2 linked regions of the Arabidopsis thaliana genome follow. The protein of the gene in region 1 interacts with the protein of each later gene in a pairwise test. Each region holds a gene or a part of one and is shown on either strand. Other genes may lie near its edges.

Region 1 (4,704 bases):
TCTAACACTTTAATCGCTTTTACTACACTACGTTAAACAGACTGGAGGCTTCATTGATTGACACTGATGTAACATAAGTTAGTTCATAAGAGGATAACTTACCAGCCCATCCAAGTGCAGAGCAAGAGCCACCTACACAAACCAATACAATGTTGTAAGAACCAATTACTTGAAAACTATAGAATGTGTTTTAGCTTTTTTAGTACTACGTACCGCTGCAATATCTTCAAGCTCTCCTCTGGACAGATCAGGAGCAATCTTCACAAGAAGAGGAGGAGGACCTTCATCACCCCATTGCATCTCATCCCGAGCAGCTTGAACCTTCTTTACAAGGTCCTTCAACTGTTTCCTTCCTTGAAGCATGCGCAGTCCTGCAGTATTGGGTGATGAAACATTGATCACCTGAAGAGAAAAATGAAAATTAGGAACAAAGAATTCTACGGTGGATTAGATCAAATTCATGTTCGATATATCATGGTAAGAAGTTTGTACCAAGTAATCAGCATACTGGGATAAGTTATGAACTCCTTGGACATAGTCAGCAGCAGCATCCTCACTCGTCTTGTTCTTTCCAAGGTTGACCCCAAGAATACCAGGTCCAGATTTTCCCCCTGGTTTTACATCATCACTTGGAGATGACGAAGTAGCTGATGTTTCAGCCAACATTCTTTTACCATGTTGAGCACCCAACCGCTTTGCAACGACAACAATCCCTTCGCTATTAAATCCACACCTATTGATAATAGCTCTGGGAGGACCAAAATATAAGTCTTTTAGTTTAAACTATCTTGCTTCTTCAATCATTGAAGGTCTTTTATAGATTAGAGATTCTCACCCTTCTTGGCTTAGTCTGAAGATACGTGGTTTCGGATTGCCTTCTTGTGGAACAGGAGTTACAGAGCCTACCTCAACAAAGCCAAATCCCATCCCTAGCAGTCCCTCAGTAGCCTCAGCGTTTTTGTCAAATCCAGCAGCAAGCCCAATTGGGTTTGAGAATTTCCTTCCCCAAACTTCAAGTCCCAAGATTGCTGGATCAGGCCTCTTTTCTCTAGGTACCCACCCGCGAGCTGCAGCTGAAACAGCCAGCTTATGCGCAAACTCAGCATCCAGAAGAGCAAAGAAAGGATTCACAACCTTTGTTGCGTTGAATAGCCACCCACTGTCCAACACACAAAATAGGTAAGAGGTAAAAAACAAAGTGACTTCCTCAAAGTAACTACAAGGTAGCCTTAGCAATGTCAACTAACAAAGAGAACAAAAAGACTAAGTTTCAGGGCACTTATTAAGTAAAGTACCAGAAGGTTGCTTCATCTGCAGTACTAACATAAGCTCCTCCAGCTATGGCCAGACCAATGGTAGCTCCTGTCAATATCCTTCCCTATAAATTTTCAAAGTCAAACACTTTGCTCTTGTAAAATGAAATAGCATCAATGATCTAACTCTACTACACCAATTAATGTGCCATATTCAGATCAAAACAAGAGTTGCAACTCCTTATCTTAAGGAATAAGATTCCAATATGATTCGAATAAACCAAAAATGAGATTAATTTATCAATAAATTCATCAAAGCTACTCACTCTCTTGGAAAAATGAGGGACTTTCGGTGCAGAAGAAGCTCCAGGAACCGAAGAACAGTTACGGGTAGCTCCAAGAGGATTAGACGAAACCCTTCTGAACAAAAACTCTCTCGCCCATTTCGCCGACGACGTCGCAGCCCTTCCGGCCATTAGGTAAGATGATTAAATCGACAGTGGAATCAAACAGAGTTCGAAAATGGTTGCTTTGAAATCTATAAGAAGAGGGTTTTAGCCTTCTAGCTCACGGCTTGAATCTTGATAGAGAGAAAAATATACGCTTTTTGTTTGTTGTTCGGTTACAAAGGATCGTCAGAGTATTTGCTAAAACCCTTGCTTCCTTCAGGTTGATCTTTCCGGTTCGATTTACCGGTTTAATGTAGTTAACCGGGGTAAAATCTTATATGTTAACCGGTTTGAAAAGAGATTGATAAGGAAGGCCCTTTCTCTGAAAAAGCGAGACCAAGAGTGCGAAGTAGCTCTCTGTCTTTCGAAGCAGAAGTGAGACTTTGACGACAACAGTGGGAGGAACTATGAGTTCTTGTGTTGTGACGACAAGCTGTTTCTATACAATTTCAGATTCTAGTATACGTTTGAAATCCCCCAAGCTCCTCAATCTGGTTCGTTTCTTTGTGTGACATGGAAATTGCTGTGGTTCTGTTTCACATGAATCTATCTCTTTTAAGCACTAAAGCTTTCAAATTTCGTTTCCTTATAGAGTAACCAGCAGAGAAGACGCTCTCTTAGGTCTCGAGGTGGTTTAAAGGTTGAAGCTTACTACGGTCTAAAGACACCTCCTTATCCACTTGTAAGTGCAAATAAGACTTTGGTATTTGTATTTGGATTCTAAGTGTAGTAACTATGTCTTGCTTCTGTAATCCAATTCTGTTCTCGACTAAGCACGGAACTGTAGAAAGTTTGTTAATTTGGGTGAATTGTCTTGTGAGTATAGGAAAGATTGTGTCTTGATCTGTGTATCTTCTATCTTGCAAAGTAGATGTGTCTTGATCTTTAGGGCCTTGGTGATATGTCAAAGAAGATGGTATAGTTGAGATTCTAATTAGAGTTAAAAACAAATGTGAATAGGATGCTTTGGAGCCGTATATGAGTAGAAGAACACTAGAAGTGCATTGGGGAAAACACCATCGAGGTTATGTAGATAATCTGAATAAACAGTTAGGGAAAGATGATAGACTCTATGGATACACCATGGAAGAGCTTATCAAGGCTACATACAACAACGGGAATCCTTTACCCGAGTTCAACAACGCTGCACAGGTACTTTATATTCTAAGTAACTTGTACATTATCACCCGAGGCACACACTAATGTTGGAAGGATTGATGATGATTATGTTGTTGTTTAGGTCTATAACCATGATTTCTTCTGGGAGTCGATGCAACCTGGTGGTGGAGACACGCCTCAAAAGGGTGTTCTTGAGCAGATTGATAAGGATTTTGGTTCTTTCACAAATTTTAGAGAAAAGTTCACTAATGCAGCTCTTACTCAGTTTGGTTCTGGATGGGTCTGGCTTGTCTGTGAGAAACTTGACTAGCTTTTCACTTGGTATTAAACTGTAGAATGACTTTGAAAATGGAAAATTTTGATTCTCTTTTTGTTTTTTTCTGGAAAATTTCAGTAAAGAGGGAAGAGAGAAGGCTTGAGGTGGTCAAAACCTCAAACGCCATTAACCCACTCGTGTGGGACGATATTGTATGTTAGAGTTTTATTAGTTAGTTTTCTTGTTGAACTTAATGTTACCTCTTGATCACATCTCTTTTGTTGTTACAGCCAATCATCTGCGTGGATGTGTGGGAGGTACACCATCTCCTCTCTTCTGTCATTCTTCCAAGAAACACTTTGAAACATTTTCTAATATCTTTCGTTTTCTTATCTTACTTTGCAGCACTCTTATTATCTGGACTACAAGGTAAAAACCTAGCTTAAATTCCGACCATTCTGTGTTCTTTTTGTTCGTTCAAAAGGCTAAATCAGTGTTTGTTTCTTTCTTTCTCCGGTTGCTAGAACGACAGGGCTAAGTATATAAACACATTTCTGAACCACTTGGTGTCGTGGAACGCTGCCATGAGTCGGATGGCCCGTGCAGAAGCGTTTGTGAATCTTGGTGAACCCAACATCCCAATCGCTTAAGCTAAACACAACTCCTTGGAAACTTGGGCAGTCTCATTTTTGCAAACAGAGGTCTCAAGTCCCAAGTCCCAACCAACAAAACAAGAGTTGCTTTCTGAATGTGACCCATCTTTTTGTTCTGTGTAATTTAGCGACAGTTTTCTCTTCTTTTGCCTTTTGAGAGACTCTCTAGCTTTAAGATCATCAGTGAGCCCTGTATGGTGACAGTAATGTTAGTGACGCAATTAACCCTTATTAAGTTATAATAAAACGAAGGCTGGCTCACGTGACCCGCACGTGACTGAGAGTATCCGTTTCCTCTTCTTTCTTTTCTTCTTCTTCTTCTTCTTCTTCGTCTCCTGACAATAGGGATTGACACCATCGTTCACTTCAACGTAAAGGTATAAACTTTCTTCCTCCTTAACGTCAAAGTTTCACGCGATCGTCTCTGTGGAACTCCCTCAGCATCGGGTAATTCCCTGATTTTCCCAACTCGCTCTCGCGGAAACTCTCGATTTCGATTGGGCTCTTGAGGTTCTGTTCATTTCCTCGTCTATGAATTTTCTACAATTGATTAGGAGTCGTGCCCATAACTGCGTGAGTAAAAAGGGAAAATTTTCTTAAAGATAAGCAATTTCAAGCTTTGTGTTCGTGAAATTTATCCTTGTATGAAACTTGCAATGCGATTGTTGTGTTGGTTGGTGGGTTTTCTGTAAAATCTCAATGTTCATGTAGGACCTGGGTTTTGGCAGATTCAGTGCCATAAAGACTGTAGTGTTAGTCCTCATATTACATTTGTATGGTTGCTAAATGGTCAAACTGATACTAGTATAACTCAGAGATTACAAGATTTATTTGGATCAAGATCATATGTTTCCTTGATGCCAAAACTAATTCATTGTTAAGATTCATAAAATCGAGTATATAGCGAGTTAACGTTTACTTGAATTTCCTCGTTCTTTATCCTTTGTAGGAGGTTATGCAGTTCTTGGATCCCC
Region 2 (4,193 bases), on another chromosome or scaffold:
GAAAAAAGTGAATTTTAAAATACATTATGTATCTTGAAGGTTGAATTATTTTTGTCATTTTTTAATCTATTAATATGTGTGGAGACATCTAATCGAGGGAGTACTGACTCTTGTTAGTTGTTAGGTAGATGTTTAGGTTATAAAGTTGGACATTATAAGGATGTATAGAAAGTAGATATTGAATAAATAAAACTAGCTGTCAATTGGTAAAATGTAGAAAATCAACTTCCAAATTTGAAGTTTAATATATGGTTAATTACATCATTTAGATATATTTATCAAAAACATCTCATCCATACTTAGTAAGTTAATATTCATATCAATCTTTAATATATATTATGAATATATGTCATAATAACATGGCAGACGTGAGACGACCAATAATAAAAATAACTTAATGCCAAAACAAATTTATATGATGAGATTTATGAGTAGACTCGTTAAAATATTCCTCAGTGAAAAAGTATTGCATACCTCAATGAAATTGGTGTGAGGTCCATAAAAGAGAGTTCAAGAAAGAAAGTACACATATTTACATTTTGAGTCATCGAAGTTCCATTTTACAAATATTAATACGTCACTGAAAAATGAAAATACCTACAAGAAGATATATGTGTACTGTGTAACTGTAACAGATTGGGTGTAAGAAATCGAGAATTCTTTTACTTCTTATTAATAAAGAAGATAAAAACACATGCTTTTATGCAAACTATATAAAAGAAACACAAAACAAAATTACATTCACACATGGAACCAACTATACAATAAAACATTGCAGTTTTCAATGGGCCACGAGTCTTAATGCATGTGAAACCAGTGATCAGTGACCACGTGTTAGGCTTTAATTTGTGAATTCCATATGATCCAACAATTTAACAATATCATCTATTCTAACTTGTATAAATTTATTTCGTCTAAACTGAGCCTTCTTAACCCCAAAGATTTGGCAATCGAGTTTATGAACTCCGATTTTATCTTACTCACACATTCTAAACTATAGGAAGAATTTCTTTATATCTTCCACCCATTGACAAAGATCGTACTATGTAATAAATTAGACCGCAAACAATTAACTTTATAAGAATATACCTTGGATAAAAATAAAAACAATAAGAGAACAATGTCAAAAACAATCACTAAAAACTTTTCTTTTATTTCACAAAACAAAAACTTTTCTTGAAGGTAAGTGAAAAATATTTAATTGATTGTAGAAAAGACGTTGTTCTTTTTGTTTACGGGTTTCGGGCTACACCGTCGTCACCTGAGGCGGTCTATATGTTTGTGTCTTCGAGGCTGTCATGATACTAAAAGATTAGAAATAGAATCGAAAAATTCACTTTGTAGAAAAGTTATATATTAGCTCGAAACAAAACAGTTAGACAATAGACGTACCTCGAATTAATACGTCATCCTTATTAGATTCTTTTTCTTGTGTGTGCGAAACCTTATTAGGTTCTTCACACCGTTTTTCACAAAGGTAACGTAAGAGACGACAAATCAACACGGCACAGAACACCAACAAAAACACAATGCATCCCAAAATAATCTTCTCCATATCGTGTCTGCTTCTTCTTCTTGCATACAAATTATATTTAAACACTAGTATGTGTACTGTTAACGAGTTTACATTTTGAGGTCAGAAAATATTCCATTTTAGGATCTTATGACTATGTAAAGTTTACATATTTTATCAATGTTTCTAATTTGTGATCACATTATGGATATTGTGATCACATAACGAAATGGGAAAATGCCAAAAAAAGAACATATCCAACTTTAAAATTTGCCAAAAATATTTCAAATTTTTCATTAACGGAGGCGAGGAGCTAGGTATATGAAATTATGAATATTTCAAACGACGCTGTTTCGATTATATAAACTAAACCAAGTATCGGGAAAGATAACCGATCCAAATCAAGGACAGTAACACAAACCGAAATAATCCAAACCGGGATTATACAGACAAAGTGGATTATAAGAGCAAAAACTCAGTTACCAAAAATTTCTGCGAATTTCGTTTTGAATTTAGGAAACGAGAGAAATGAGTTTCTTCGCTGTTGCTTGCTCCGCGCCAAGATCTTCTATGCTTCTCACCGGCTTGAATTCGAGCTTCTCTGATATGCATCGCAGCCCACTATTTGTTTTCCCGGTGACTATATCATCCCGGAGCGTGAAACGCTTCGCCGCTGTTTCGTCTGATTCCGTACTAGACCCTGAATCCAAAAATCAAACTCGGTCCCGTCGCAAAAATAAGGAAGCAGTTACGCCAATTGCTGAAACCGAGAACAATGAAAAGTTTCCGACAAAGGTCCCGCGTAAATCGAAGCGTGGGCGGCGGAGTGAAGCAGACGCTGTGGAAGATTACGTGAGAAGCTCCCTCGAGCGTACTTTCTCCACCATAAAGGAGCAGAATCCGGAGGTTTTTGAGAACAAGGAGAAGGCGAATTTCATCAAAGACAGAGGCGTTGATGAAGAAGAGGAAGAAGAAGAAGAGATGGTGGTGGAAGAGGAAGATCCAGATTGGCCAGTAGATACAGACGTTGGATGGGGAATCAAAGCTTCGGAGTATTTCGATACACATCCAATCAAAAACGTGGTTGGAGATGATGGGAGTGAGATTGATTGGGAAGGTGAGATTGATGATAGTTGGGTCAAGGAGATCAATTGTTTGGAATGGGAAAGCTTTGCTTTTCATCCTAGTCCACTCGTTGTCCTTGTATTCGAGCGATACAAAAGGTATAAGCTTTGTTATTTCATTGACGAATTTTCACAAACACTTGGTGTGCATAGTAGAACTATGAAAGCTTTGTTCTTTTTCCTTCACAACATTATCTAGACTATGATTACAAGTTGAAAGAGCCATTTGAGTTAGATTCCATGATCAATTAACTGCAATGAGTATAAAAACTGAAACTTGTTCTTAGAGTGACCAAAATCTACTACTGTTGGAATAATTTTTTGAGTTGTTGTGCGTTTTATAGAGCTAGTGATAACTGGAAGACATTGAAGGAGCTTGAGAAAGCTATCAAAGTTTATTGGGATGCGAAAGATCGATTACCTCCACGGGTATGTCGAAAGCCTTCTCTAGTTGCAGTTTTAACTTGAACATTACTCTTTGTGTACTAATCTCTCTTGGTGTGATTACATGTTAATGTGGCTGCTCTCTGTTAACAAGAATCACCATGTTTTATGAAACAGGCGGTTAAGATTGACCTGAACATCGAGACAGATTTGGCATATGCTCTTAAAGCTAAGGAATGCCCACAGATTCTCTTCTTACGCGGAAACCGGATTCTGTACAGGGAGAAAGGTGATAAGCTATGTTGCTAACGTTGTTTTCATGTTTTTTTGCAATATGTGTGAGCAATAGATTATCATAGCGTATTGAACTTGATGCAGACTTTCGCACGGCGGATGAATTGGTTCATATGATTGCGCATTTCTACTATAAAGCGAAGAGGCCTTCGTGTGTCGACAAGGCTAATGTAACCCCGTACTGTTAGTTTGTAACGGGCATAGAGTAGTTTCACTCAAAAGGTCAGTCTAGGAAAATTTACATAAACTTCACTCATAGATTGTTAACATTTTTGTATGTTCTATGCAAATATAAACTTGTTCCCAAGTAATGGATTTTACTCGTCAATCTGTGCTTTCCCTAACACGTTGATTCGTAACCAATGATGCATACATATATCAAGAAGCCAGCTCCTTTTATAGAAAAATTGTTTGAAGGATAAACTATTAATGCAAAAATCCATAACATAAAAACAAAAGCATTGAATCAATAAGAAAAAGCAAACTAAAAAAAAAATGAATTCCACAAAGCTAATCTCATAATGACTAAACCTAATGTGTTTAGTCTCTTATCAGTCAAGTAGCTTCTTCCACTTGGCGTAACCAACGGTGACTATGAAAAGCACAATGCAAAGCGCAACGACAGCCCACACAACGTAACCAAAGATGTCAGGTGTGCTATACAATCCAATTGGTATATTCATACCGAACAAGTTGACCACCACTGTCCCTGCAGTTATTGCATAATTGCCTATATTCACAAGCATCATTAGGTGGATCAGTCCGTTACGTCTACTATTCTGTAGTATCTTCACGTAGGCTTCTGTGCTGTCAATATGCTCCTTCATCTGCAATTCAAAAAAATATTAAATTACCAAGGACCGGGCATTAACACATAA

The links.
Region 2: the proteins of FSD3 (region 1) and MRL7 interact in a two-hybrid assay, tested with the Arabidopsis thaliana proteins (one study listed by BioGRID).

The regions. Positions count from the first base shown.
Region 1 is NC_003076.8:7,848,515-7,853,218, forward strand, and holds FSD3 (Fe superoxide dismutase 3), read left to right. Parts: upstream 1-1,929; 5' UTR 1,930-2,109; coding exon 2,110-2,196; intron 2,197-2,294; coding exon 2,295-2,384; intron 2,385-2,662; coding exon 2,663-2,854; intron 2,855-2,942; coding exon 2,943-3,114; intron 3,115-3,215; coding exon 3,216-3,289; intron 3,290-3,367; coding exon 3,368-3,394; intron 3,395-3,482; coding exon 3,483-3,506; intron 3,507-3,601; coding exon 3,602-3,727; 3' UTR 3,728-4,020; downstream 4,021-4,704. Other genes in the region: PYRD (pyrimidine d), read right to left, coding at 103-132, 214-402, 493-748, 836-1,159, 1,296-1,378, 1,580-1,729; STE14A (S-isoprenylcysteine O-methyltransferase), read left to right, coding at 4,686-4,704. UniProt on the Arabidopsis thaliana protein: Destroys superoxide anion radicals which are normally produced within the cells and which are toxic to biological systems. Plays important role in chloroplast development, particularly in the maintenance of thylakoids membranes.
Region 2 is NC_003075.7:14,124,677-14,128,869, reverse strand, and holds MRL7 (polyadenylate-binding protein 2-binding protein), read left to right. Parts: upstream 1-1,787; 5' UTR 1,788-2,041; coding exon 2,042-2,736; intron 2,737-2,981; coding exon 2,982-3,066; intron 3,067-3,198; coding exon 3,199-3,310; intron 3,311-3,399; coding exon 3,400-3,503; 3' UTR 3,504-3,658; downstream 3,659-4,193. Other genes in the region: MGT5 (magnesium transport 5), read right to left, coding at 3,867-4,142. UniProt on the Arabidopsis thaliana protein: Plays an essential role in early steps of chloroplast development. Involved in the regulation of plastid gene expression. May positively regulate plastid-encoded RNA polymerase (PEP) activity through binding to FSD3 and CITRX/TRXZ.